2 linked regions of the Daphnia pulex genome follow. The protein of the gene in region 1 purifies or fractionates together with the protein of each later gene. This does not show direct contact. Links are inferred from orthologs where the notes say so. Each region holds a gene or a part of one and is shown on either strand. Other genes may lie near its edges. The genes, in order: putative RNA-binding protein Luc7-like 1 and RNA-binding protein with serine-rich domain 1-B-like.

Region 1 (15,749 bases):
CACTCATCGCCCGGAATTCTGTAACAGTTAGGAAACATGCGCAGCACTAGCCAGCACATCACTCGAGCTTTCTCATGCAAACCGAAACAATTTTATGCAAAGACGCTAAAAACTATTTGAAATGCGTTCACCACTTTTGGAATGTGAAATCTGTTTCGTGATTTATCGGGACTTAAAAATTTTCGAGGGAAATTGATATACACACAGTAGGTATACTTCTCGTTTAACCCAACTGCTGTTCATTAAAGAAGTAATTTGTGTGAGTCTGCAGGGTAAGGCTGATGTTCTCATTTTTCTTGTGGCAGAGCAAATGAAACAGCGGGAGTGGCTCTAGGTCGTTAACGAGTCGTCGGCCCTTAGTTTTTTTTTTTCTAATCGGTGAAGTCGTTATTTAACAGATGGCGGCTTCAAAAAAATAGAATCAGGGTAAAAATCTGTCTTCTTATACAGCTGAACGCGTAAATTCTTTCCAATTATTTTGTTCTCCTTTTGAAAAAAGTTGACATCCATGTTTCATTTCAGCAGTCGGATTTTATGTCATATGTTTGTAGGGGTCCCAGTCGGCCTACTAATCGTCGTCATTTCCCAGCTCGACAGGTTTATCCATTTCACTGTCTAAAAGAGATTGAAAAGAATGTCACGAAAAAGAATAAAACGAGTTTGGAATCAATCGACACGATCGTGACACAAGCAGCAACTACTGTTTGAACTCGACTAGCTTTTTGAAAAGAAGTTTGTGGCGATTACGGTTGGTGGTTTCTTTTTAGCAGTTCTTCCCAGCCGAGATTCTTTCTATTCTCTTGAAAATAATGATTGGATTTCCCTTGCTACATTTTCATGACCGACCGCAGCGTTTGTTGCGTAAGGGCGTAAATGAATAATACCGGTACCAACCGTGGTGGTAGTAGCAGGGGTATCCTTCACTGTGTATTTCGCAGGCGACATTTATCACCGTGAGAATCAACAGCTGACCCGGTTCCTCTTCTTCTCGTCCAATAACAGCTGTTCTCAGTTTCCTGGTAGATCGAGAAAACATTTTTTTGTTTCTTTTTGGTACAAAAGAAGTGGACTAAGGCAGAGCTTGAAAGAAAATTGTAGACTGGAGAGCAAGACACGAAACTCGTTTCATTTGCGGTCGCTGCTGATCGGCTCGGAGAAATAAACAGCTGGCCGATTCCGCCCTGGTTCGCTCCTCCGCATATCCAAAAATTTACGCTCCTACTGCGCTATTACACAGCAGATCTATATTTATATATTCGTCTCCATGATTGGTTTAGCATTCCACTCTTCTTATTATTAGGGGGGCTAGCAGCTGTTAAAATTGGAATAAAAGGACGCGAACTAAATACGTCCCGTCCCGTTGCTAAACGAAGCTAATCAAAAAGGTGCGCTCTTGCGTGAATGTGTAAGTAAACTTGCGTAGAGAGGCTTAACAAATCAATAATTAGTGTAATCAGTGTGCGCAAGATACAAATCAATTAGTTAAGCCCACACGACTCCGTTCTGCTGTTCAATCAAGCTATATTTCATTGCAGGGTGTCGGAAAATGACTTCATTAACACGTCTCACGGTTCAGCGGTGATGGATGGCCGCTCTTCAACGGGAACCTGAAAAATCCCGTGTTAAAAACTGATTCTATATCCGGACTCGGTGGAAAAATATCTATTAGAATTCATCGTTCAATATACGCTTCCATGGGTATCTAGGAATTTCATAACTTTTAGTCCGTTTTGGACAGTGTCTTCTCGATGGATCGATCATCTTCACTCGGCTGAGCTTTCGTGTTTGTTCACCGCCCAGCATAACACAAATTTCCGTGCACTGTGCATCGAATTCCATTCTCACTCTAAACTTTTTTCAGAAACTGCTGAGTGAAAACCGGAAATTAAAAAATGCCATCTTTTTATCAAACGAGTATACTATACATTTTACCAGTTCACCATTAAACATCAACTCAATAGATGATTGTAAATAGTTGTGATTATACTACTTTGTAGATTCTTCTAATCTGTTTGTCTCTCGACAGACATGTCAACAACAAGAAAATTATATCCAGCGGCGTAGCTTCAGGGCACATGTGCCGATCATTTGACTTGCGTTACAAGTTTTTCTTATAATATGCAAAAAAGAAAAACGAAAAAACAAAAAAAATGTGGGGTAAAAGATACGAGGGCATCCATTGGCCGGGAGAGAAAAGTAGCAACGCCTCCCATTGGTCGTCGACCGCCATAAGAGCCCTCTTACAGCAGTGTTGAGTCTTCTGCAGTTCATTCGAGTCCCCGACGTCGACACAAGTGGTGACTGTCGTTACCACGTTCTCTTTTTCCTCATTTTTATTTAAAAAAATCACCGAAATTTCCCTCCCACAACGTTGCGGGTGCCCGAGTGAGGTTTCTGTCTTGTTCTCTTTTGTGCGAATTTTGGTGTACCATCAGTGTGTGTCGAATCCATCATTCTGATTTATTCAAGATCTGGTCTACTTTGAAAAGGTAATCATAACGGGGCTTTACGAATGTGAGACGACTGAGAGCATGCATGCATTTTTTTGGGTTTTTCGCAACGTGCACGGAAATCGATCGTCTCTAGTCTGCGGGGTTGGATTCTCAGCGTCATGGCTGATTGTCCGTGCACGTGTTATTGCTACTGCCCTGATGATTGCCATAGTCCCTTTTTCCCCCCTCCACCCCATACTACCAAATTCAACACGACCGTGACCCTCATCAAATGAGAAATGAGAAATTTTTGGATTGACATCTCGTGTGAGTGCATCGTGTGTAACGAGAAACCACCGGAAACTCTGGTGGTTGGTCGTTTCTTTCTCCCTCCCAAAGGCTTTGGCTGGGTTTTTTTTTATTGTATTTGAAAAAACATGCAACACATAGTGGGTGGATTTTGACTTATTTGTTACCCTCTTTATATTCTTATCAGATTGAACTACTTAGAAAAAGGGGTTTTGCGATATGCTTGAGAAAACGGATGTTGGATGTGGTTTCTTGGGTTAAAATCCGATATCAAGTTAAAACATGGGATAAAGTTTAAAAGCGAGAGAGGGTGAAGTGACAGCTGTGAACACGTGAACCCTCGGGCATGAGTTTGGTTCCTTTTTTTAAAAAGAGAGAAAAATAATAAAAAAAAACTAGCCTGGGTGACTGGTTGGAATTATGGGTCTGGAGAACATGTGGTGTCGACAAAGCCTCATTACTCTACACGCGTTCCTTATATCCGTTTTTATCATTTTTCCCTTTTTTTTTTTGTTGCAGTGTGAACTTCACATAGATCCGGAATATTAAAAAAAAAACTCGACAACAACAGAAAATGACGGGTCAGAACGGCCATTCCAACGGTGATGTGAATCCAAGTGACAAACCTCTGACGACATGGATGGTTGGGCTTGTCAATTCACGTTTGAAATACCTGACAGCCGAAACTTTTGGATTTAAAGTAACAAAGAAAATAATAAATTAGTTAATTAGTTCAGGACTTGCGTGTGTAATGAACTTGTACGACTCGTTTTCTAGGTGAATGCCAACGGGTTGTTGCTGAAGAAGAAGCAGCTGTGGACTCTGGAAGCCTTCGGCGACAGCACCGACGCCGTCTGCTTGAAATCGCATCTGGACAAGTATCTCTCCGTCGACCAGGTGATTGTCCTCTATTTTTCTTTCTTTTTTCCCTCGCCAACCGTCACCTGTTCGACCGGTTTTTAATATTGTTCTTCTTGCGTCTACCCAGTTTGGTAATGTAACTTGTGATGCCGAAGAAAAGGACAACGGAGCGCGTTTTGAGATCATTGTTCCCGAATCGGCTGCCGGTAAGTGGGCCTTTCGGCACCCGGAACGCGGATACTTTCTAGGCGCCTCCGCCGACAAGCTGGTCTGTTCGGCCAAGACCCCAACTGAGAATGAACTATGGTAATGACGGTCATCATACTAACACTCTATTCGTTTACGACTCGTGTGCCAGTTATTAACTCGTGGTGCTATAATTTATGGCTTCATGAACTCTTTGTGTTGGATCTAACTGATTGTTTTCGCCTTTTTTCAATTGGGTCAATAGGTTCGTCCACTTGGCAGCTCGACCTCAAGTCAACCTGCGTTCAATGGGTCGAAGACGATTCGCGCACTTGAGTGAGCAAGGAGATGAAATTCACGTCAACGCCAACATTCCATGGGGTTCGACGACGCTTTTTACGCTCGAATTCCGCGACGACTCGCGTCTCTACGCCATCCACACAGCCAACAACCGTTATTTGTCGCGAGATGGCCGACTCCTGGAACAATGCAACCCGACTTGCCTCTTTTCACTGGAATACCACGCCGGAGCCCTGGCTCTGCGCGATACACAGGGACTTTACTTGGCCCCCCTCGGTTCCAAGGTTTGTGCTGCTCACATCTATTTTAACGTTATCGATTTTTCTTCTCATGAGTCCCGTTTCACCCCTCCTCTTTCCTCCTCCTCGTTCTTCCCCCCATCATTTTACGAGATTGGGGAAAGAAACTCACTGGTGGAAAGAAAAAAAGAATGGGTTTGCGTGCGCTCGTCTCTTGCCCAACTCGGCTAAAAGGTTGATTGGTTTTCTCGGTCAGGAAAGGAGATGTAGTCGCTGTAGGAGGTTATTGTTCTACTGTTTTGCATTGTGGGATATATTGTTGTTTCCAGGGGAAAACAAAAATCAGGGCAAAATGCTATGCACGATCAATTTCTAGACATAATAATGAACAATATCTGATGTTTTATTTTTGGTTTTGAAAAGGAAAAAAAATGGCAAGTGTTTCATGGTGTTCTTCTCTTGTCTGGTTTGTTTTGACAGGCTGTCTTGAGGACACGTTCAACTTCGGTGACCAAGGACGAACTGTTTACGCTTGAAGACTCACTGGCTCAGGCTGTTTTCGTCTCTATGATGAATAGCCGTTACGTATCCGTCAAACAAGGTAATATAACATTTTAAAGATGCACTTCATTCCTCACATTTGATTTCGATAGGCGATATGAGACAGGATTTCGGCTTTTTTTTAGAATGCGAGTAATATGGGCCCTCATGGGGTGGGAAAGAAATGGGAATACCAGACGTACCTTATTTTTGTATTTTTTTTTTCTGAAAAGAAAAACATGAAAAAAAGGATGTGTCTGTTTCTCTTTTTGACTTGGGTCCGTAGGACCATAACCATTAACCAACCCGGGTTCAAGAGGCCATCCGTCAAGGGCTAGTCGCACTCGAGATTTTGTATTTTCCCCCAGACTAATCAATAGTGGGCGTCTGACAGGGAGTGCACGTGTTGGCAAATGTCGGCTGACAGATGCAAGAAGGTAAAGACATTTATTCCGGATCGATTCTCGGCGCTTCCGCGTTTCGTATTGATCCATCGTCCACCCTCCCTCTGCGTCATGGCGTTCCCTCCTCCCCCTCTCTTTCAACTGCTTTTCCCTCGTCAGCAACAGCCCAGAGGCAATCTTTTGTCCAACTGAGAATTTTTCTTTTAGACTCCTCGACTTACGACTCGGCGGTTGTGAAATGTACGTTTAATTTTACTGAATAGATATTTATCGTAATAGTAGTTGCAAGTTTATAGAATTCACATTGTTGGAATCGTACCATGAGAGATTGTGATCCAATCGTACAAGCCGGATTAATGGCCGTGTGAACGCGACTGGCGTGACTATTCTTTAGCCCGGACGGACGGACTTGTATTGTGGGTAGATCTTTTCGGATTGTCTAAGGGAACATATAAAAAATAAAAAGATAAACAAACCAGGAAAGAAACCCCAACCACAATACGTGACTGGATTAGCCTTTCGAGTACATTTGACGGTCACGAACGATTTCCACGTTGTGCTTACACACACACCATCACGTTCCACATGCACATTACTGTAATTGAAGTACGTATTTAACAACAACAACGAAAAAATCTTTATTTAGGTGTCGATGTCACGGCTAACCAGGATGAAATCTCCGACCATGAAACTTTTCAACTCGAGTTCGATGTTTCTACTGGACGCTGGTACATCCGAACGATGGGTGACCGCTATTGGACTTTGGAGACTGCTGGGGGCATCCAAGCATCTTCAGCCAAAAAGTATTAATTGAACGAGTGTATTGTGGGTAACCAAGTGTGGGCAACTAATAGTTTTTCTTCGTAGGAGTTCGAACGCCCTGTTTCAAATGGAATGGCAGCAGGACGGATCGATTGGGTTCCGCGCCAACAACGGCAAGTTTGTCGGCACTAAAAAGTCTGGACATCTGTTTGCCAACACCGATTCGATCGATGAATCCAGCAAATTCTTCTTCTATTTAATCAACAGGTTTGAAACCATTACTGTTACAAGACACTCTGAAAGACCTAAATCTTGACCCAGACAGCTGACGAACGATTGTTATTGATCTTTTAGACCCATGCTGGTATTGAAATCTGAACAAGGTTTTGTTGGCTACAAGAGCGGCTCAAATTGTAAATTGGAATGCAACAAAGCCAACTACGAAGCCATCCAAGTTGAACGCGGGCCATTGGGTCTAGTCTATTTTAAAGGTATTATTAAAGAGTTATTTCTAGTGTCATTCCAGTGATGGCTGGTTGTTGTGTATTCAAATCTTTCTTCTTTTTTGGGTAAAATAGGTCAGAGCGGTCGTTACTGGACAGTAAGCTCCGACGGAATTACGGCTGATGGAGACACTCCAGAGGGTTTCTATCTGGAGCTGCGTGAGCCTTCCAAATTGTGTATCAAAAGTGGCGACGGTGCGTACCTAATGGCCGACAAGAACGGTGTATTCACAGTCGGAAGTCGCGATTCTGAGCTGGCCACTCGCTGGGAATTTTAACACGCACACTTTGATTTCTCTTTTGCCCTATTTGTCCTGGTTTTTTCTTGCTGTTTTATCCGTAGTTTTTCGTCGCTTATTTCTGTTACACACGTTCCCAGGAAATTGGTAACACCGTTTAAAGAAACACATTTACCACTGCTGCTTTTTTAATTACATGCCATCTCTATCGGCTTGCAAAGAATTAAAAGAGATGCGCTTCAGTAAGTGTGTCTCTTCCAAGGGACATCTTCGAGCCATCCGGATTACCACTTTTCATTGCATCAGTAACCGGAACGCCCAAGAGTCTTAAAAAGGGAGGAAGTTTATGCTGCTTTATATTGCCATTGTAATCTGTGGGAATCAAATTTTTTAAAAAATTTCTTAAATTATTTCCGTTTAATTTTCGTTGTTTTGCATGTTCATCTTCCAACGAATATAATGTATACTCTCTTCCACTTACATACGTACCACCGTGCGCCAAAATGATGACGAAAGAAGCATCGGATTCTACAAATGTGAAGAGCAGTTGCAATATACCAGGGACCTGCTGCTGTTTGGCGTATCGAGTGAGCTACGTCAATGTGTACATGTGGAAGTGAGTATAGTATTTTCCTACTCAATCATCATCGCTTCCAATAATGCGGATGAAAATTCTTTTTTTTTCCCAATTTTAAGAAACTCTGTAATTTATATTTGATATAATTGGTCGTGTGTATTGGAAGTCACTTTTGGTAAAATTACACGGACATCTAAACAACGATTTTAAAATTGTTTAGTAACTTCGCTCCTGACTAGCGTTATGTCGCTTTTGATTTGTAATGCTAAATTAAACATTAAACATCTAGTGTTTCAGATTAGAAGTGTATTACTTAGTAAAACAAGGGATGGACAACGGGCGAGAGTTCAGGATTGTTTCTTGTCAAAATACCTCTTGATTGTGTGATGCTAATAATTTTCTGGGTGGATGCCAGAGTCTCGAGAGGAAGAGCGTTGCCGGTGATTGCGGGACACGGGTGAACGGGGTCGGTTTCTACCATCCTGACGTCTGTCACGAGGTCGTTCCGGTGATCTATCGCGTGAACGACGTCTCTCTCGCCGTCGGTCTCTTTCCCTTTCTCTCTCACGTTCCCTTTCGCGATCTTCTCTCTCACGCTCACGTTGTCGTTCCCTTTGTTTCTCTCGATCGTCCGCCACTGGCTGAGTGTGGCGTTGACGCCGTCTTTCTTCCACTTTGACCTGTAACAAGTCGTTAAAAATTTACTACTTCAAAGTTTAAAAAAGACAATAGTCTTCGCTATCTTCTACCTGAAGTTCAGCCAATTTCTCACGAATTTTAATGAAGCCGAGGTGAAGTTTTCCACCAAAATGATCTGCCAAACGTCGGTCGTTATCGTGAATGCCGAGGTACGCGGAGCAAACTTCGCAGACGCGTAGTTTTTGTTGTTGGTACGATGAGGCCGGCATGGCGTTTCGATATTCTTGCTCAGCTGTTGCCTTCTTTTTGCGGAATTCCTCAACCTTGACGGCACAAGGATGGAACTCATCCAGAAAAAACGACATGAATGACATTACTGTATACCTCTTCCATCATCTTCATCGATTCATCGACGAACCCTTCAGCGCCCAATTGTTCCGCCTTCGCCAACTTTTGACCGATCTGTTCTGCTAGAAGATGAACCTAAGTTGCCATGCAAGAGTTCGGCTGAATACATTTTTGTGAAAGGATGTTTATCTAGGATACTCGAACGAACCTTTTGGGCTTTGGCGGCCACTTCAGCAGACAATTCTTCTTGGGTTTCAGCCAGCCGTTTTTTGGCAGCTTCTGTCTTCCGGTCGCATTCACCAACAAAAGTGGTCAAATGATCCATGGCCTTAAAAGGAGAGAAAAAATTAAATTTTTTTTAAAACGTAATTGGGCTAGTTAAATTAGTTGTTCAACTCACATCGACTTGATAGCCATAATCCTTGGTTTCGCTGGCCTTTTCGTAGTCGGCACGTAGAGCCAAATCGTGAATGTTTACGCATTCTCCAATGTCCATCCGCTAAGAATCGTAAGTTAAAAAATACGAATAGAGATCACGAATGGCGGAGCTTGGCTGACGTGAGACTCGCCAACCAGACAACAAAAATGATAGCCGTTGTAAATGAAGAGGATTCGTGGATTCACACTTACCCAACCGCCCTTTTTCACTTGAGTTGGCTCAGCATGGACACTATAGCCAGCCATATATTGTTGATATACCAACAGTTAAATATGTTTACTAGGGACAGGAAATTCTAGCCACTGTACTTTTTGGCTGATTAAAAGTAGCTGTTGGATTGTTCTTATAAGGTACAAAGGAGGTTGGCAACGCACCACTGCCATGAGTCTTACTTACGGCCACTTGAGGTGTAATGTGGTACTGAGAAAGCGATGAGTAATCTGTAGCTGATACCCCATTATAACATCACTGCACCACGCAAAAACATAGAAATATCAGTTAAAAAGTCACGTCCCCTTGTTTAATGGTCCCCTGTGTCTCGAGAAACTGACTAACTGATCTTGATTTAGCAAACGAGTGCATAATGGGTAACAGTTCAAGTATTTGCAACACAAATTTGCAAAGCAAGATCAGAAAGGAGTATTCTTTTCAGGCACAATCTTTTACAAGCAATACAACCAAGGAGTTGCTTTTTTTTCTCAAATAAATGAAGGTTTGAGGGATCAAGAGAAGTATCTCTTTAAATACTTACAGTTGAGGCCAAGATCTCATGAGGGCAGCATCCCAGCAGAAAACTCTTGCAGACTTTAGGATCGGAAAACTTGACGTTGTATCGAGAACTCTCACCTAACACATAAGAAAAAAAATTTATGGAATCTTTCCAATGCTGCAAATAATTTATTCTGTTACCATCTCTTGTTGTTCCCATCAACTGATCTAACATAGCCCTCATTTGGTCTTTGGCAGACATTCTGCTTCAAGTTATTTGAGTGGTCGATATTGTTAAAGGTATGTAAAACACGTGATCGTGTCCAACTTTTAAAATACTATTTTTATGTCGGTGAATAAAGTGAAACTTTACCAACTTTAACAACTCACGACACACTCGCACTGAAGGTATTGGGGCGATGACAACTAAGGAGCCTCAGGCGACGCTGCAGGTATTTTCTTCTGTCCTTTCGGCGATGTCAAATTTCAGCAAAGACGACTCGCTCGCTCATTACGAATTCATTTTATTGTATACCAGGTGTGCATTTGCATCAATAGGTGGCCCCTGTTTGGGCTCGTACCGGCTCAATGTTTTGTTTTTGTTTTTCGTGTGAACTCGTTTCTACAACTCTCTTGATTATCAGTGAAAGTGCATCCTGAAGGTTGAACATAATTCGCTGGAACAGACTGGTTTTCAATCAGTTAAGTTTCCAGAGTACAACACAGAAGAAATATTAACAGAAAAGCCTGAATGTAATGGTGGAAGAAGAAGTGGAACAAGAAATCCTCGGTGAATGGAACTCGATCGCTGAAGATTCAGAGGCGATCGCAGCGTTGACTCGTCGAACGAGGAATCTTCTTCGCGGTTTTAAAGGTAATCTTGTGTTCTTATCTCAACAGCCGATAATTGCTATTCATTCAACAATATCGTTTTTATGTCCTTTATGCTCAAAACACGTTTTTTACGTAATATCACCGTGCAACATTAACAAGTGGGCATACAATGTAAACATTTATTTTTAGATGCGAAACACTTGCAACGTTTTTTGGAAAAGCTATACAGTTCTGTAGCTTTTTCGAAGTTGGTGAATCTTCTTAAGGTATGACAGCTGAATTTACTTTCATATATTTAAAATTTAACCAGTTTAAATCATTACGCGATATGTTTGTCTATTACGTCGTAAAGAAAACAGTAAACGGAAGCCAAAAAAGTCTAGGCAAAATGCCAAGAGTAGTTTGATTCTTTCCAGCAGGCGGCAAGTGCTTTCTGATTTCGCGATAGTTTAAAGACTTTTGATTACAAATTTTATGATGTTAAATTTTTTTCTATGGGCTAAGTCAACCTCGAATTTATGCCGCATATTTCTTTTACTGGGTTTAGTGTCGGATGGTTCCCGAAATTCTACATCTTGATTTATGTGTTTACGAAATTTGGTCTTTTTGCCCTGTGTAACAATGATGTCTTTTGTACTGGTAGATAACACGGAATAATCAAACCCGGGGTGATATACTTTACATTGCCCAATCTATCTTTGAAGCACAATCTGCTAACAAAAAAGGTATGTTTTATACTCAAACCCATTATGTCATCATAACACTAAATCCAAGGTGACCAATGATAACAAACAAAAGCATTTAAAATACAGATGCTCCTTTTTCGAGTGTGGTGAGCCCTACGTTACTTCTATGGCCTGTACTAATCGAACTGGCTTTCGAGTTGGAGATTGTTGTACTAACAGAACAACGCTTTCTAGCGTTGGACATACTCAATCACATTTTTAAGAATAGTAAGAATTATAACCCTTTGAGCACCAGTGTCATGCGTGTATCTTTCGTTGCAGGTTTGCCAACATTTCTCGGCCTCTCGCACTCTCAAATGCGCACGTAGATTTTCAAAACTTGGATAAACTAAAAAAATCATATGATAACAGACAAGAACGACAGCTCAAAGTATTTTCTGTTACTATTCTTGACTTTTTTTTCTTGCCTTGGCAGAGACGAATACATTGACCGTTTGCCAAACGGTCGAGGCAAACCGACTCGTCCTCGATGTGCTCAAGTTGCTCGAGTCAAAGGAAGGAAACCGGAAACTTACACTGAAGCAGCACAAGTGTGCTGCTTCCATTTTATCGAGCCTTGCGCGACATAGTAATCACGATTTTTAAATAATTTCTTCTTATTGTGATTAGAGCGGACGATATTGTCGTTGGCATTGTTTTGACATTTCAGAAGAAGGACGCCAAGTAATAATTGAAGCCAAAGTCGTAGAGCGCTTGCACGCGTTCTTGCTGGCGTTACCAAATGAAAAAGCTCGCGATACCCTCATCCACAAAATCGGGCAGACTATTCTTAGATGTGTTCCACTTCATGATCTGCCTGTAACTAACGGCACACATTCTGCCTTCCGTTACCTGCCATTTGAATCCATCTCTTCCGGATCTTTAGGTTCATCATTTTCATATCTTCCGCCTGTCCCAATTCCCACCCCATGTCACTCAACCCCATCGCCGTACAACATTTCACTATTTTTGATTTCGGTTTTCATGAATCATCTTTTTCTTTTAAATTAGGTAATGGCGCGACGTCCGACTCGAGTGAAGAAAGTGAGGAAGAGGAAGAAATAGGAGACGGTTCACTTCCTGGTTCTCGTAACTGGTCGTTTTGTAGTGGGACAAAAAAGAAGTCAAAGAAATTCTCACCGCCGACTAATCCGTACCGAAGTGCCGAAGAACTAGAGCAATACCGACGACATTTCGATCTGAAATCCGATCAATATGAGGAAGACGAACTTAGAAACATATCTAAGATTGTACCACCAAATTTGAATCGCCAGCAAATTTATGAATTTTTTGCGCGTCGAACGAAATCCATCCATGGGTTTCGTCTTATTCCTTGTCCGGATTGGAGCAATTCGAGTGGCAGCTCAGGTAGAGAGCCCTTCTATATCAAAGACCGCAACGTCTGCAGGTACACGAATTACTTCCTTATTAATCTAAATTGATGTTTAAAAGTAACAATTTTCCTTGAATGTTTTAGGAGTAAACTGTTCAAATCATTGAATATGGTTTTAAATCCAAATTCGTATCGACCAGAAGTCGTTTACGACCTTGACTCTTTGTTATTGGATGCAGAACAGACTCAATCTATCCGCATGGAAGATTTTGAAGCCGCATCAAAACATCGCATTAGTCAACCCAATGCTCCACTGGAATTCGAATCACGCTTCGAAAGCGGCAATCTACGTCGTGCTATCAGGGTATGACAGTCTAAAACGTCCCATCAGAGTAATTACTATTTTTAAGGCATCCATGTTAAAGTTAAATGTTTTATCTGTTAGATTGGAAGCCATGAATACGATTTAATACTGAATGCCGACGTCAACTCGTTTGGTCGTCAACAATGGTTTTACTTTCGTATTTCTGGCGAAGGAGTGTGTTCATCAAAATCTTACACTTTCAACGTAATTAATTTGGAGAAGCAGCGAACGCTCTTTCATCAAGGTTAAATAATATTTAATTTGACTTTCTTTGATGTTCTGTGTTTCTCATTGTTTTTTCGTGACATTGATGTATCCCTTTATTTGCAATCCTTTTATTTGACATGGGATTAGGCATGCAACCCTTGATGTTCTCTGTGAAACGGTATATGGTAACACGTACCCAGCCGGTTTGGGAGCGCAGTGGCACGTCCATGTGTTATTACCGCAACGGCTTCCGACAATCAAATGCCGAACAAACATCTTACTGGAGTCTTTCCTTCACGTAGAAATTGTTATCGTCCCTTAACGTTTTATTCATCGATTTATTCAAAAATTTTGTTTTCAGTGTGACCGTTCCGTACGACAATGACGTTTTGTACATTGCTTATCACTATCCGTATACTTACAGCCAATTAATGGTGAGGTTAAATTTAATATTTGCTATTCAAATGTACTCAAATTTGCTTTCTTTTACAGACAGATGTAGTTACCTGGTTAAGGACACCATTTCCTATCGGATATCCATCCTATAGCATGGATCGGTTACGAATATCGACTCTTTGCCGATCCCCTTGTGGAAATCCAGTTCCATTGTTACTCATCGATTATGATGGAGATGCGAAGGTAATAGCGAAGGAGACACTACAAATGTTCACCTTATTTGAATGCTTTTGTTTCTGACGCATATGGTAACCTTTGTCTTTTAACTGTCTCGCTCCTTGTGTTTGCGATGACTGCGGATGCTTGTCGGCCCAGTCCTGTTGCGTTTTTATGTCTCGAGTCCATCCTTGCGAATCGAATTCTTCCTGGTCCATGAGGGGCCTTGTCGTCACCGCTCTTCAGGATATGACACAGTCTGATGAAAGGCATCATCCACTTTTTATTCTGCCAATGTTGAATGTCGACGGGACGGTGCATGGATGGTACGTTCCAAATCTTTCATTATTAACCTATTTAATTCTACCTAAGTCGCCCGCTTGCCCAATCGCCAAAGGCTGGCGGAAAGCATCTCTTATAGGACAAAATTATTGCAAAATAATGTGCACTAATTTTAATTATTTTAAAAATGTATTCAATTAAGTTAACCAACCAGTTGAGAGAACCATAATTTAAGAAACCAATGACCCAAAAAGGTAAAATTCGGAATGAACAAACGTATGTTAACTAATTCAAAGCCATACGACGATGATGATGCATAATTTGTGCGGTTTAATACTTAACACCTCGATGAATTCTTTTAATCTTGATAAATTTCGGCTTTATCGAGCTGAGTTGCCTTGAGGGGATGTAGATAATGCGGCAAATGGATTGAAATTGTAGAAGTAGCAGCGTGTCTGCTCACAAATGAAATGGTTATTCTGGGCGCAGTTTTCAGCTCGCCAAGTTTGTGTCTGGTCCGTTACTAGGAGACAGTTGGAATCGGTTGATCTAAAATGCAGCGTGAAAAATGAGCCGTTTCATCAATGCGTGAATAAAATAACAGTCACGTTTTTTTTTACATCTCTAATGTTTCTTTTGTACAACAAAGAAAGGGAAGTTAACGATCGGTCCTTGGGTAAAAATATTTTGTCGTTATTATTGATTCTCTAGTGAAAACATCCACGAATAACCTCAGGACAGTACGTTAACTTCTCGTTCTTGTACGGAACATTTATACATGTAATCAATGAAATAGCAGAAAAGAAATAAATGCAACCCACCGGTTAGGTTCTAATCCGTTGGGCCAGTAGTTAAAAGTTCCGTTAAACGGAGATCCGTTACTCAGCCATAGCCAAGTGCTAGTTCCCAATGTATTTCCCGACGTCCAAAAATCAGCTGCTGCGGCTCCTATACACTCGTAAAATAAGGGGGAATTGGTTTAGGGCGCTTCTAATAGATTTTCGAATTTGCATCTTGCCAAAAGGGATGGCCATGACTAAGGTGCCAATTTGTCCAATTCTATGGACATCATATATAAATAGCAGGTATTCGTTAAAGCTTACCGGGGCGAAGGTAATCGGCAAGCTGTTGGGCTTCTTCGGCTGATTCCAAACTAATTAGCTCCATAGCAATCGTTCGACAGTACCTTGTAAAAATAAATATTTTCATAAATCATCATCACGACTGTCGTTCGGGTAGGCGAATGTTACTGGTAAGCTAGATGGAAGTTGAGGCGAGGTGCGTAGGGATTCTGCCAAGAGATGAAGTATCGGTTGTCGCCGATTTTCGCGGTAGAAATGCGTTGACCCGCTGCCAAAAAAACAAACAGAGAAAAAGTGACAATTTAGCGCTTGACGTGCAGCGATGGATGTAATATGCAATGCGAAAAGATTAACCTTGTCCGCAAAAAGTTCTAGAAACACCAGGGTCGACATAAATTACGATGTAGTATAGTAAAGCATTTTTTCCCCATCACAGTTGCAGTAGTTAACAAAAAATTGGCACGCAACACAGGAAAGGCTTGAAATTGAGTTGAAAATTCCAAAGGGAAATGTTTCTTCAGAGCCTTCCAAGCACTATCGTACAAGGGCTTAATTCTAGTGTATTATTTTAGGTTCCCCACGTCAAGACCCCGCAGTCAAAACATGTTATTAAACTGAACATCAATCAGCATCTTAGCTGTAAACCTCAAAATTGTTTTTAAAGCCCCCCTAGCCAAAGCTTGGTACAAACCAAACATTTTTTTTTCCTCACCAAAATAACTTTTTCTGCGGGCCATAATCTTGCGCATCTTGGGATTTAATGCACGGAAGAAATAATAATTTATCTATGCGTCAAGAAGGATTATTATTAGCTTACCGGTTAT
Region 2 (14,985 bases), on another chromosome or scaffold:
AATGTGTTTATTGGTCTTGAGTTCAACAAAGTTCTGGAGATCAAGGAAAGGTGGTTGGCTTTCTTTTGTGACGGCATCAACTTCCGCTCCATAAAGAAGAGGGAGGCCACCGATTCTCGTTTTGAGAACGCAGCAAAATTCGGCATTGGTATTGACCTGCTCGTTGGGATTCGGGTTTCCGTTTGGAGAACCTATAAAGTAATAAAGCAAGTTGTACAAGGAATTTTGATTTAGAATATATCAAGCTAAACATACTGGCACAGAGATATTGCTCAAACTTGAATCCCCAGATGGACTTTTCTTTCTGCACGGCAATTGAGCCATTTTGCTTTTTACTCTCCTTAAGTTGCCATAAATAGATGGAGTTTTGAAATCGGGTAGCAAGTATAGTCCAATTCTCCTGGCATTCATATGGGGTTGCAATCAGCAGAGTGAGTAGTCCACGATAACAGACAAACTCAACCAGCAAAGGTCTGAGAGGATGTTCATGATCAATGATATTCTTGTGCTCTGCCTTTCGCTCTTGAAGGATCCATCTCAGCAGATCATCCAACATCTTCTGTCTGATGGACTCTTCATCTTTTTCAACAACTCTTGATACTCCTCTTTTCAAATCAAAATTGACCTTGCAGCTCCCAGATGTTGAAGCTTCTGGGGGCATCGATAGATACCTAAGTTCCGAGTAATCATTCACATAATTTCTGTGGATATCTAATGAAAACGAACCCACGTTCTTGGGCCTCGTAAACTCTGGGAAATTCCCTGGAGAATAGAACAAAGAACAAATAAAATACACAAGAAAGAAAAATGTTTCAAAGAATCGTGTTGATACCGTCGAACTCTTCAATGTCAATCAAGCTCAAATTCTTTCTAAGTTTCTCGTTGTTATTATTCCTAAATCTTGGATCTCGAATTGATCCATTCTTCATATCTATGTATTGGCGCTTCATTTTCCTTTACTTATTAGTTCGAAGACGAAAAGAGCACATGTGAAACATGTGGTGACCAAGACTCGATTGAAAAGAAAACTTGAATTTTAATAATAGACGAACAACGTTGCCAAACGTTGACCGATAAAAACAAAACATTGTTTATATTTAAAACTTTTTTTTTATTCGTTAAAATACTTGAGCTGTATTCTTTTTTTTTCACAATATTTACGAAAAATTTACGTCAAAAACCTACAAAATATCCAATCATGTTAGTATAATATCAAGTGGAAATTCCGCCAATTAAATCAATAAACAAGTTTATATAATATGAACATGTTGTCAAACGTTTTTGAAGAAGACGTGATATTAAAAAAAAAAATACGACATTCGTCATTATTATAAATTTCCCATTTTTGAATTCTTATCTTTCCAATCTGCGAGACCGACAATAACTTGATCGGCTTCATGTCTACTCAAACAATGGCGAATGACACGTAATGTAATGGCGACGCGGCGGTCCATGGCATCGAAATGTCCCGCAGCTAAAATCGGATCAAGTGGATCGCGTGCCAACGACTTGCGCATGAGAGAACTGAGTCGAAATGGCCCGTGATGAAAACGTAAAAGAGTTGCGAGCGTCGTCCGCCTCACAAGGCAACATTGGTATAGTGGAGCCAAAATTGACATTTCGTCGTGATTGGGTCGACCGAACGCACGACCTTGATCCAAGTGAATGGGGAACGTTTGATTGCCAAACAAACTCAGAGTTTCATAATGATGACGATCCATGTTCCCGGCCAAGAAATCGAAGATGGCCAAATCGATTAAATCGACCAATCGGCGTCCTTCGTTGTAAGGAGGAAGTTGGCGGACTTGATCGCAGTATTGATCATCTATTTTTGAGGAGGAAAAACAGTGAAATTCAATAAATCGGCTATAAAACGTGTGATAACTTTTCATTCTGTATCCTTTACCTTCTTCCCATTGGGCTTTTTTACGTTTGTGGTAGGATCTTCGCCATGGGTGGCGCCAAGTTTTTCTTGGCACAAATTCTTTATCGGGCAAAAAAGCGGCCAGTGATGCTTCCATTTGGTCTGGATGACCGCAAATAGCGTGGCCGGTATCACAGTAATAGCTGCATTTACCTGCACATATACACAGAAGAGAAATCGTGAATCACAGAGTCTGGTCACCCAGAGATTGGCTGTCACCGTGGTTACCATGGAAACAGAGATTTTGTGCGGGAGAAATAAAGAAAGTTCGCAATAGCTCGCCAGTGGCAAGGGCATACAATTCGGTGGTCATGTTGACCAATCGACCGACAACGGGTGGAGCTCGCCGGAAGCCCATAATTCGATCAAGGTGGAAGGCGGCTATCTCGGCGTTGTGACGTTCGTAATCGGTAAAGTAAAAGTGATTAGGTAAAGTTTCCTGTTCACGCGGGAATCTGAAAGGTGAACAAAATAAATTTTTCAAAAAAATTAGGACGAATGTTTTGAATAACCCAAGTACCAAAAAAAAGAATAAAAAAAACCCTTCACCTCATGGGTTTCAACATCGCCATCCCCCCTGGGGCAAACTCGATGACTAGTTTCAGCTGCGTACCACCTTCTTTTTGACCTATTTTCACGCAGAAAGAAAAAAATACAATAACAAAATGATTCGTGAATTCATTCGTGAGAAACAAAAACCGGTTTATAACCGACGAAAGACTTACTGATGTTGTAAAATTCTAGACTAGTCATGTCTTGCAGGAGTTCGTCGATCATTGGGTCATCCTCGTGGTATAACTCTTCCTTCGAAATAGAGACGTGAAACTTTTCCCAAGAAGTGGCATCCTCACTTTTATTACAAAAATCCATTTTAATGACAGATGCCGTTAGATTATTACATGCAGGGTTTTTTCCCCCCTTACTTACCTAAGACTAACGTTGCGCAGCCGCATAACAGTCACGTCCAACTCACGCAGGTGACCTTGAACGGGCCGACTCAGCTCTGCCGGCACAATGTATTTCATAAGATCTTTGAATTGACTTTTACGGTGATCCAAACCACTGCCATCGGAATTCTTGTAGGTTTTATTTGTATCCGATGGCGAAGACCTTTTGCCCTTTAAAAGGTCCCGCATCACATCCGCCTTGGAACCCTGTTCATTGTTGCTTTAAAGGACAAAATACACATTGGGGTTGATTAAATGAAAATAAAATGGTCTGGCGAAATTTTTAATAAACGAGGCCACCACGCATGAAAATCATAGATAATAGCAATTCTAGCCTCAGCGACCACCAATACCAAGTACCAAAAAATGGAGGTGGACATGCGGAACGTGCCCAGCTAGCGGCTATGATCGATTGTGTTAAAAAGAATTGCTGTGTACGGTACTTTCTTTCTCCAGTCCGGTTTTTGCTATTTGTTGACTGACTGGCAAAATTTATATTCACAGTTGCAACGAAGAGAGAAAGTCCCCACACAATTGTATACACATATGTCTATAAGCTCATCTGCCCGCTACAAATAACAGTCGTAAAAACCCCCCCATCGTTAAAAGATAGCGGTTCCTTTTCCCGTCGATTTGATCAAAAGTGTCATTAAAATAGTTTTCGTTCAGCTCTTTCGTCCTCTTTTTTCTTCAGAGATATCTTTCAAGTCGTAAAGTAATCGGGGGCTTTGTTTCCGCCGTTATCCAAAGTTGGAAATCAGTACAACGTGTACGTACGTAGGTTAGTTATAATGCAGCTTTCTGCTTTCTAGATCTCATCCCGGTAAAGAAAATTGGTGACAGAAGTGATAGTTGTTAACCTCAATTCTCCACCCCAGCCAACCCGTTTTGAATTTTTGCTTTTCATTCGTGTCTCGAATCTTATCTTTTTCTTTTAGCTGAACACCAAAAAAGATAGTTCCTTTTTTTCACAATGTAAAATTACCTTTGTTGGGCAGCTGGGTCGTCATCGTTGAGTGTCGCGTTGCTCGCAACGACCCCGAGCTCCATATCGTCATTGTTGTTGGCATTGGGCTGCTGCTGCTGTGCAGTAGGAAGAACTGGATGTTCTAGATTATTAGACGGCACTACAGCAGCAGGATTGTGTTTGTCGAGAAATTGTCGTTGAAACTCTTTCCCCTCTTTTTGTCTGGCTGTTCCGTGCCTGAGCGCTGGAAGAATAAATCCGGCATCGGGTTGCTCTGCTCGTCCTCCACTGGAGGCGTAGCGTATATCAAGCACTAATACGGATGTGAGGAGGACAACACTCACGCCCAAAGCCAGAGCCACTCTTTCCTTCCACTTCATCACTACAATTCTCTTGTTGATCTCGTTGATGGTATTGACGGCGGCCCAGCGTCCGATCGTAATTGTCTTGGCATCCCTTTTCAAAAGGAAACTATTGGGTAATGGCCCAGAAAGAAACCGAACAAAAAACAAAAACAAATTGTGGTGTTATTCAATTGTTAAAGAATGAAAGGAAAACCCTTTCACTGAGAATAATGGATAGACAAAGCATTACCTCAACCTGATTTATAATATGGGGAGTCTGGGAGTTTGTTGTTTTTTCGTTCTCGACCGTCACTCACCAAGGGGAAAAAATAACCACAACTTTCACTATTAACCTTAAACTTTGTGTGTGTGCTGTGGTGGTGCGATCAGCTCACGAACATTTTTTCTCTCTCAGCACGAGATTTATAGCTCGACTACAACAACAATAACAACAACATCACGAAATCAATTGGTGCTGTGCAGAAAATCCTCCCCTCTCGAAATGTGGCCAAATTTTTGTTGTGTAGAGTCACTCGGTGATAAGAGAATGTTGATAAGATGATGAGACCATCGTCGAAAGACGTGCTACTGCTAAAAACATTCGACGGGAGACTGACCGACTTCGGGCTGCCAACGTGCCTTTTAATACACTCACTCTTTTCTTTTTCTTTTCCCCATTTTCTTTGACTATGGCGGCTGCTATGCCAGTGTGAGTATACCAAAGCTAATTTCAAACGTCGGCTGCATTCCATACACGCCCATCGATTTTTCTATGCTGTGCTTATTACTGCTTGCTACAGTTTATTCGAAGCGATTTGATCAATAATCAATCGTTCGTGACTGCTGCTGCTCGACGACTCTATAAAACTGAGTTACGATAGCTAAAATTCAATGATTACGTAACCATGGCAATTTTTCGCGACTGCAATTGCATTTTACCTTCTCCTTCGATGTACCAACAGGAAGATTATTTAAATGAAGTCTAATAACCGGTTTCGCTCGCTGCTGTGGACCCCGTGGTGGTGTAATTACAACATTTTCATTAGAAAGTATTGAATTAGTAAATTTTATCATGGACCTGGAACTAAATATGGTATTAGACCAGAACTGTAGATTGAATCTTCCTTTAAGAAACGTCCTACATTTGTCTTTTGTTTAAATTTTCCAATTCTGAAATCCAGAAATTTCTCTTCACATATTTTTTCTGTTTGTTTTTTCCCTCCGTCGTGTTGAAGGGGGGGAAATCCGGCGTTTGTATACAAAAAGTTCGACAATCCCACAGTCCACTCGATCGTGAAAGCGAAGTGACTAACCGCAATAAGGGATGGGAAGGGAGAAACCGTATCAATAACATCATTAACGGGCTCTATTCTATGGACAACATGTTTATGGTAGGGAAGCTCTTATTTCTATTCTCAACGGGACCAGCAGATAAGTATAGTACGGGCCTATTATACTTCAGTGCAACTACACGGATAGTTTACAAAGTACAAACAAAAATTAGAGGGGCATGTCGTCTTTGTTACGGTCGTGAGAACTTTTTTCCGTTCCGGACGAAAATAATAAAAGATTGATATTTTGTTCTGACTAAACTCTTTTAACTCTTAAACAAGTTTTGACCTTAGGCGAAATAATTTCAGCCGCGTTACTTATCCCGCCTTGAAAGTCCATTAAATTACAATTATCGTGATGCTCATGTCTACGATTTAACCGGTTGGGGATCGAGGTGCAAGTTGATTCAGCCGTGGAAGAGATTGTGGTCGAAGAAAAAAAAAACAAACAAAATATTCTCAAAAACATTTCCAATGCGATTCGCTGACTGCTAAGAGGATAATAAGAACCAAACAGACTTCCGTAATTGAGTACAGCTGTGCAAACAAATTTGTTCCAACTGTTGGGCGCGCCGTTGCCGGATGTAGGAAGACAACACAATTTACCAAATCGACTTTTTCATAGGAGGAAAAAAGCAGTTAGAAACAGCTACATTCCGGTTGTGAGAAATTTCTACCCTCCCCCTGATAAAAATTTGCTGTTCCTTTCTTTGTGTTTATAACACCGAGGCGAAACCGTATCTCCCGCCTTTCACATGTCACTTGTAAACCGGAATGAAAGTGTTCTGACTTGTCATGTCCCGCTACACACACTTCTATTGAGTTTCCAACAAACAGATCCAACTAGTTTTTTTTTAAGGCTTATCCGGTTTCTCCTCCAGCAGCCATTGACTTTAAAAAGAAAGCATTACTACTCGGATTACTGGAAAACGTCAGATGGCAACATAAACTTGCGGTTGGGTAACTTTTTAAATTGATAGATAAAATAATAATAAGACTTTTCATTTCAAATGAAAAAGAAATGTAGTAGAAACAACTGAAGGACAAATGCCATTGTCAGGTGATATTGTATCGTCTTGCAGGATTCCATCGAAAAAGGGAAAATTTACGGAATACGTGTGGCATTTACGCTATTGACTCATCAGCAACAGCTCGGGCGAAAGCAAAATCTGAATCACGAGCACAAAGTTGAGTTGATAAAAAAAAAAGAGTGGACGTTCTTCAACGTTAAATAAATCATGATTGTCTTATTTAACGCGAAGAAGATGATGAACTGCGACTGTAACGGCGATTGTTGCCACCTGAACGGCGATTGGGTGAACGAGACCTGGAACGGGCAGGTGGAGGTGGTCTCCTATCTCTGTCCCTTCGTGGAGGAGATCGTCGACGTAGGGGAGAACGTCTTCGGAATCTGTAGAAATGAACACAACAGATGCAAATAACCGGAATAAAGATTTACTTTAGTAGTATATTACCTTGGTGGAGATCGACCACCACCCATGCCCCAACGGCCCGGTCGATTTCTGGGTGGTGAATTCCGTCGAGGTGGTGGTGGACGGTTTTTAGGGATCAGCACAGGGGCGGCTGTGATTTCTTGTCCATCAATTTGGCCTAGAGATTATTTGAGATTAAAAACGTATTTATAGCAGTAACCAACAAACGTTACTTTACCTCCGTCCATATGCTTCATTGCATTTTCTGCTTCGTCGGCAGTACTGAACTCGATGTAAGCAAAGCCCCGGTGGAGGTGACTTAACCCAGCACGTTCGTTGGGAAACTCGACAGCTTTGATGGTTCCGTAAACGGAGAAAATTTCGTTAATGTGTTCCTTGTTGACATTGCGCGTCAGTCGGCCGATGTGGATTCGAAGTGGCTTGGGTGTAGGTGAACGATCGCGACGACGCCTCCGGGGAGATGTAGAGCGGGATCGTTTGTTTTCTTTGTTTCTGTCTTTGTCAACATTCTTTTCTCCATCCAGTTTTGTTTTCTCTTCATCAGGTTTGCTATCAACTTTTGGCTTATCACTCGCTGGGGCTCTGTACGTCAACAAAAATGCTGTTATCACAAGAAACTTGTTTACCGTCATCCAACTAGAATAATTACCTCTTTTTCTGGTGCTTCTTTAATGAACCGCTGGAACGTGAGGAACCTGATGAATCAGAAGAGCTAGATGAACTAGATGATGATCTAGAGTCTGAAGAAGAACTGCTGGATGATCGTGAACTAGAGCTGCTGCTACTGCTGCTGCTGGACGATCTAGAACTGAAATGTCACATTAAGCTGAAGGTTTCATTAAACACAACAAAGTTTAACACTACCTTCTGCTTGAAGAACTATCACTGCTTGAAGCTCTGCCTTTTTTCTTCCCAGAATCTTTGGTATCCTTTTTGTCTTTGCTAGCATCTTTTGATTTACTGGAATCTTCGCCGGCTTTCCGGTCTTTTCGATCGCCAGTTTCTTTGTCCGGCCTAAGTGATTTACACAAATTTAAAATATTGTTAATTTAGATTCATCGTAAAAATTTACTAAATTATTAAATGATGCTGAGGATTTAACTCGATTTACTCACATTTTCAGAAAGTTTTATTGAAAAACATACGAGTTGATAAAGGGGAGGAGCGTTAAAAACAGACGCTTAATGCCACTTGCACAACGTTGCCTGTATTAAATAGATTCTCGTTTTTATTTTTATGAATGTAAAGTTATAGTTTTTTAATTGGAACAAGTTATGTGAATTTTTTAAAGATTAAATCAAAGATTATTTAATTTTTTATTATTAAAATGTTAAACTAGTTGTACGACAGCCGACGGCAACGAAAAAATGTTTCGGCAATGATTGTTTTTGGGCTGTTGCCGAAACTCTACAAGGCCGTCAGTACGTATAGCAACCACTTGAAAACACTGGCCAAGTGGCAAAAGAAATGGCAGACAGGAGAAAGAGCAGGTAATCCCTTGCATGACTGTTTAAAAATATTATAAGCTTCCGGTCGTCACAATAATATTATGATGCTGTTTCAAATTTTAGCGGGCCACATTCGGCGGAAATAGCGGTCGTAAGAGAAATCTATGACGGTGAAAACGCCCAGGAAAGATTTGAGCTAGAACTAGAACGAGCTCTGGAAGCTGCTGTTCCAGTAATTGTCATTGAGCCAGTTCGACTAGGCGATGAAACGGCGCGATGGATCGCCGTTGGAAATTGTCTTCACAAGACAGCAGTACTTGCTGGACTTGGTTCGGTCATAACAGGTAAATTGTTGCTAGTATTCAGTTGTTGCATTATATAAGTCTAATTTTGTTAAATTTCCTGTTTAGGATTTTTCTGTGATAATCGTCCATACATATACACTCCATTAGGTCTCCTTTCCTTGCTGTGTACAGGACTGTACACAGCATCTTGGCAATTTGATCCTTGCTGTAAATACCAGGTAGAATACATACACTTGACTAAGTTGGCAAAGGTCATAGCAGATATCGGTTTTGCTTCAGGTTGAAATGGATACAAAAAGACTGGCCAAATTACCAGTTAATAGGTTGACCACTTCCAGTCCCATAGTTCTCGTAAGAAGAGATGATAACAAACGGAAGACTCTTCATTGCACCATCTGTGTTACAGCAGCTAGCATTACCCTTTGGAAGCTGTACTTTATTGCCTTCAAGTAGTCTTGTTATAAAGAAAACTTCCCAAATGTACAAACTGAACAATACATCCTTATTATATCAGAATGTATTAGAGATTCTCTACTAGAAATTAACGACTTTTTTTGCTCTTGGCCGCTCGACGCGCCATAAGTTTGAAATAAACGTTGGGTAGAATTGCACGAAGAAATACTGCTAAACGATAAAAGAGTGAGCAGAGCATCAGCTCTTGGGTTTTTTCCTTAATTGCAATGACAATTTCATATGCAGCTTGGAGTGGATCCGCTCCCGACTCCGTAGTTTCATCCGTCTGTCCATATTTGTCTCCTCGGCCCGTCAGCGCGTTCAGAGACAAACTTGTGCGGATGTATCCGGGGTTAATGACTGTCACATCAATCTTGTGACGATGGATTTCCGCTCGCAGACTGTCGCTAAATGCCTGAAGTGCATGTTTGGAAGCAGCATAGGCCGATCTGGAATCGACATAGACGATAAAAATTAAATATTAATGTATTCAAAAACATGATAAAACTTACCGAAACGGAATTGCCAGTTTTGATTGAAGTGATCCAATCATCACGATATGGCCACTTTGTCGTATTATCATTGAAGGAAGAATAGCTAAGTTACAATTAAATCAGAAACCCGATTTTTAAAAGATCACATTTGACGGTATTTACCTTTAGTCAATCCAATTGTTCCGAAGTAGTTAATGTTCATTACTTTGGCATCCACTTCCAGGGAAGTATCAGTTACTTCTCCTCTGTAACTGATTCCAGCGTTGTTCACAAGTATATCGACATATCCGTAGACCCCGAGAATAGTTCTTACTTTGTCCGCTAAATTGTTTAGGTCTTGAAGATCTAGTTCAATGATTACAGGTGGATAGATGGTGCCTTTTCTCAAGCCAGAACCCAGTAACTGTTCTTTCACACGATCAAGTTCAGTGTATCGCCTGGACGCGATAATCAACTTGCATCCTTCTGTGTACAAGCACTTTGCCAGGGCTTCGCCGAGACCAGAGCTGGCACCCGTGATGAGAACAACTTTACCTTCGAGACTGGAATCATGTCTCGAAATTCTTTGCTTTATAGCGAAAAATGCTTCAACCAATCTTCCTATTATTGTTAATGGTAAGAAAAGCAAACAGGCAATACAATTCAACCATTTTTTGGCCCAATTCAGCAATAGATTGCCTTTAAATGGCAGCCTCAGAATCTGTGCATCAGGTCCAGTTTTGCTGGGTGACTCTAATGAACCTAAAATAAAAACAAGAAAAAAATAACACATTTAAGTTACTTCACAACAACACAAATAAGTTATTTCTTAATTATTATTCATTCACAGAAGTTTTGTTTCAAATAATAGTTGCTAAATTTGCAATCATTAAGTGACAGGAAAAGAACTGTCAATTGGTTTTTGACACGGAAAGTGAAGTGTGAATAAACTAATTAGTAACTAATAACACTGCATGTAAGAACTGTCATTGAGCACATTTAGTGGCTGACAACTTGCTCTTAATAGTTTTGCCTGATATTAAAAGTTAATGACACTTACCCAGTGGTATATTGCCATCTGTAGTGGTGGTCGTTTCGGAGGCTTTTCCCACAGACGAAGTTTTCATAATCTATTGTTTTGTAATTAGTAGTTTTAGGCAAAACTCTTAAATGCATTTTTTTAACGTTGAAAAAAGGCGATTACTTACAGAGGTGGCTTCCTACAATGAATGGAAACACGACTTTCACCCTACGTGCCCGTAATGATACTGTGCACGCGGTACAATACTGCTTTTTACCATTCCTCTATCGTGTTGTTGATTATGGTTTTGGAAGCAGTCGAAAATTATCAGTTCAAATGTTAACGTTGTTGAGTTGTATTAGCAGATACTAGGTGGCATTTCAAGGCGGCAAAAATCGAAATTACTCAAACGAGTCGTCAAATCCGCCATAGTAAAACGGTTGAAGTGAAAATCCGCAACAATTTGACAATTTGACAATGACTTGATTTCCTTTTGATTACGAAGGGAAAAACACACTTCCCTATTGGAAATGGGACTTTAAATGGGGTTTTCAAAAGAAAATGAAATATAATCTAATACATAAAATAGCCTGCAGATATAGACAATTTCAATTTACAGAACCTTGACGTCAGTTCTTTTCAAGAATTTAAATTTTTCTTCGATCAACCTTCCTGTAAAAAATTTTACCTTCAGAAAACATTGGAGAGGTCCTGTTTCAAGAAATACATTTGGGGGGAGTATAAAACCAACGAAGCATGCTAGATTGCCCACCAACAACAAAGACCGTTTCCGGTTCTTACCGCAATAGAAATAATCACACATACGCATTTTAAAATGATACCAACATTGAATTCCTATACGTAAACAACATTGACAAACAACCACTATTAATTGCACTACCTGCTGTATTGCAATCTATTATGAATTATCGTGAATTTCAGATCCCTTTCGCTAACTGTAAGGGCTCTACACCGAATTCATTTCACGCTAAGAACGCGCATTCACGCTTCTCTTTTTGACTCGAACAAACATAAAAATTTGCTCCGTTATTTTACTTTCCTTTTTTCACATTCAAATGTGCTGTAAGCCTGTAAGTTTTCTCCCAAATGAACAATGCGGATGCTTGAATCTTTCAACACTTCTTTATGGCCATGCAGCTTTTATTTCTAAAACAATAAGGGGCGTGCCCCATTTCGGAATGTAGCTCAGACTAGTGAGAAATTATATAGGTTAAGCATGAGCCGAGTGCTTTCTACGCGTGCATGTACTTTCTACACAAGTATAAAATCCCTACCAAATGGCCACAATTGATTATTACTAGTGCGTTAAACCATGAATTACCCACAAAAAAGACAATCAATCATATCTTTTCGTCGCAATTCAAGGGTGTGTGTGTGTCTAACTCCGCCTTATATTCTTATCTCTGGTTACAATATAAAACCACTTCCCCGACCTCAATATTAAGATTTCTTTTCGGGAGACTCACGGAATTGTTCCGCAGTGTCTCGGTGAACAATGCTTCGTCAAGAGCGCTGGTCCGCCTGTGCGCTAATTTTCTTCTTTTTCGTCTCTTTCGCCTTCGCCACTGATTGGATTTGCCCTGCTGGCAACAGATTTTGCTTCCAACGAATTCCCAACAAGCGATCGTGGAATGAAAGCCGAACTGATTGCGCTCGAATAGGAGGTGATCTTCCAGGAGCCGACCACTTGGTAAGGAAACGAATTTACTACAGTATCAATTTCTGAAGCGCGTAAAAATAACTTACAAGTTCTTTGATCTTCAGGATGAACTCAATAGTTTGTCGATTCACGGCAGCAGCTCTATTTGGACTAATTTGTGCTTCAGCAAAGGACGTCTGCAGTGGCTGGGAATCAGAAACTCCCGTAATGAAATTTACCTATTTTTATGAGTCCTGTAATTGAGTTAACTGTTTTATCCAAACCGCAGATGAAGAGAAAGATCTGCAATTTATTGATACATTGTTACCTGATCTACCTCTTGTGGCCGACGGCCAACTGTATTGTTTCGAAACCGGTGGCAATCCGTCGAAAACTTTCACATTGAAACACAGTCAAGATTCAGCAAATGCCGTTTGCGTTTCGGACGTCAAATATCTTGTTCGTCAAACCTCAAGTACTTTCTCACTAATTTACCGCATTGAAATACTTTGATCAAACTAAAAATATCTATTACAAACCCACAAGTTCCGACGCCAAGGGGACAAATCTTATCGGTGTCGGCCGTGACGGAGGGCGCCGATATCGATTGGGGACCCATCGGACAAAATAGGGACGGATTCATGAACATTTTTCCGCCTAAAGTTACGTCGCTCAAGTTGAGATGCGATGTTAAAACAACTGGTGATTTGGATAAATCAGCTATTACCATTAGGTGGATGCGAAATGGCGGTTACGTCACAGGCAACTTTACTCAGGTCAGAGAAAGTTAAATTCGACAATCGATTTTTCTACCTTATTAACAATTCAATTACGACATTCAGGAATTGGTCAGCTTTGCTTCGGAAGATGATCTCATTCCGTGGATTGGGTTCATCAGTTGCGAAGCAGTCTACGGAAATGAAAGGGAAGTTGTTCGTGGTGGAGGATTTCACCTATCCATGTGGAACACGGTGACGGCACGTCTGGTTTCCACCTGCCTTACCTGTCGATTGAAAAGTATACTAGATTCGGCAAAAATTATATTGACTCAGGTATTAGCAAATCATAAATTACCCCAAACAATATCTCTCAATTCCAATGTTGTAATCGATAGTATGTTGAAGAGGAAATCGCTCGGGGATCTGGAAATTCAATTGAATTCTTTACGGAACCACCTGTTATCTCTTACCACACCATTTCATTCGTGATTCACACAAGGAATAAGGTATTCGGGTTTGGAAAGTACCGAAATCATTTTCCTGGTTAATAATAAAAAATCTTTTTAGAAAATCGACAAATTTGACTTCAAGATGGTTCAGAAGCTCGGCCAACATTTTCAACTTTCTCACTGGGCAAAGGATCGTTCACTTTTCCTACCCAAAGGAAGCTCAGATTTGGTTCTCGAGATAATCAGTCCGTGTAACATGGCCTTACCCCAGGATCGCGGCAACATAACATGGACTGCCTATCTAGGACAGACGGTACCATCCGGTAATTTCATTGGCGAGCCTATTTGCCTCGATAGCCGCGGAGCCATCATCACCAGAAGCTGCGGTCTACCCGTTTTACGTCCGATCCGTTTCCAGGTTTAAAATCTAAAAGAATTTAATTCAGTATCGTCAAACAACTATAACTAAATGTTTCACACTATTTAGGAATGCTCCGCCATGAAACCCAGGAAAGAAGAACCCAAATGTTTCCATGGATTTGAGCATGCTAACGATGGACAATGTTACCTCAAAACGGAAGCTTCGACATTCGCTACTGCGTTCGCTAAATGCTGGGCCGGTTGGCCTATCCAGCCTGAAATCTTGGAGCCAAAAAGTTTGTCTTATTGGTTTCAAAATTCACGCGATGGGATCTACAAAATTCAGTCAACAGCTTCGGGATTCGTTTGGCTTCCTTTTCGGCATTTCAGTAAAGACACGCCTCTTATGAATCCCCCTTGGAGTTGGATTGCAGGTAAAGTTACATTAGCGTGAATTCTTTTCTTTAAGAAAAATAGTTTCTTAAATTTTAATTATACGATCTAGTAAGCAACCGGTGGGTTCACCAGGACAGTGAACAGGACATTCGAGCGGAATATAATTCGGATGGTGAAGAACTCTGCGCGGCTTACGATCTGACACGTAACCGAATGGTTACCAGGTCCTGTCAAGATTATTTGCCAATGATTTGTAGTCGACCTGCTTTACCACCAAACATCAGCTCTATAATCAGCAGTCAACCTGATCACACGGGCGAATATTTCTGCGAGTACGTAACATGAAAATAATTTATGCAACTTCTACTAACTAATTAAAATTCCTGATTGCTTCACAGGCAAGGTTGGATTACGCATTTTCTCGTTATGGACGCTGGAATGTGTTATAGACGTTTCACTCTAAAAGAGGCCGTCGACGCCGACGGAGCACAGCAATTCTGCATTAAACAAGGTGGCCATCTTGCTGTTGCTCCGACCCATAACATGCGGATAGCCCTGGAGCAAGTCTACGGATTCTTTAACAACCAAAGCATCGTCGACTCTTGGATTGGACTGAGAAATCGTGGTGAACAGCCAGTAACTTTCAACTGGGTGAACCAAACGGCCGGTGTTTCCACTAGTACAGCATTGAACTGGCAGCCTTACCAAGAATTCGGGAGCGGTTACGGTGTCAG

Evidence for each region.
Region 2: the proteins of putative RNA-binding protein Luc7-like 1 (region 1) and RNA-binding protein with serine-rich domain 1-B-like purify together in Homo sapiens (affinity purification with mass spectrometry; 3 studies listed by BioGRID and IntAct, counting the BioPlex papers as one, with this or other methods). This does not show direct contact. The link is inferred for Daphnia pulex from reciprocal best matches to the Homo sapiens genes LUC7L and RNPS1.

Annotation. Positions count from the first base shown.
Region 1 is NC_060020.1:3,372,174-3,387,922, forward strand, and holds putative RNA-binding protein Luc7-like 1, read right to left. Parts: upstream 9,932-15,749; 5' UTR 9,749-9,931; coding exon 9,688-9,748; intron 9,626-9,687; exon of another isoform or gene 9,625-9,625; coding exon 9,530-9,624; exon of another isoform or gene 9,024-9,529; coding exon of another isoform or gene 8,970-9,023; intron 8,839-8,969; coding exon 8,740-8,838; intron 8,668-8,739; coding exon 8,548-8,667; intron 8,475-8,547; coding exon 8,376-8,474; intron 8,315-8,375; coding exon 8,102-8,314; intron 8,033-8,101; coding exon 7,742-8,032; 3' UTR 7,644-7,741; downstream 1-7,643. Other genes in the region: protein singed-like, read left to right, coding at 3,316-3,441, 3,519-3,638, 3,730-3,908, 4,054-4,372, 4,808-4,928, 5,918-6,074, 6,139-6,300, 6,388-6,524 and 1 more; cytosolic carboxypeptidase 4-like, read left to right, coding at 10,243-10,360, 10,510-10,586, 10,964-11,045, 11,133-11,273, 11,482-11,634, 11,716-11,931, 12,057-12,453, 12,523-12,742 and 5 more; uncharacterized protein LOC124192494, read right to left, coding at 14,224-14,392, 14,665-14,791, 14,947-15,029, 15,094-15,193, 15,743-15,749. UniProt on the Homo sapiens protein: May bind to RNA via its Arg/Ser-rich domain.
Region 2 is NC_060025.1:2,678,646-2,693,630, forward strand, and holds RNA-binding protein with serine-rich domain 1-B-like, read right to left. Parts: upstream 8,167-14,985; 5' UTR 8,085-8,166; coding exon 8,083-8,084; intron 7,982-8,082; coding exon 7,832-7,981; intron 7,776-7,831; coding exon 7,617-7,775; intron 7,550-7,616; coding exon 7,185-7,549; intron 7,125-7,184; coding exon 6,989-7,124; intron 6,925-6,988; coding exon 6,765-6,924; 3' UTR 6,551-6,764; downstream 1-6,550. Other genes in the region: decapping and exoribonuclease protein-like, read right to left, coding at 1-191, 256-762, 833-950; extracellular serine/threonine protein CG31145-like, read right to left, coding at 1,329-1,825, 1,907-2,077, 2,153-2,379, 2,474-2,552, 2,650-2,774, 2,852-3,091, 3,857-4,218; transmembrane protein 11, mitochondrial-like, read left to right, coding at 8,435-8,457, 8,539-8,759, 8,826-8,938, 9,000-9,173; dehydrogenase/reductase SDR family protein 7-like, read right to left, coding at 9,262-9,622, 9,686-9,770, 9,830-10,408, 10,707-10,773; uncharacterized protein LOC124203076, read left to right, coding at 12,184-12,378, 12,453-12,552, 12,617-12,802, 12,874-13,103, 13,170-13,379, 13,442-13,552, 13,614-13,913, 13,983-14,289 and 2 more. UniProt on the Homo sapiens protein: Part of pre- and post-splicing multiprotein mRNP complexes. Auxiliary component of the splicing-dependent multiprotein exon junction complex (EJC) deposited at splice junction on mRNAs.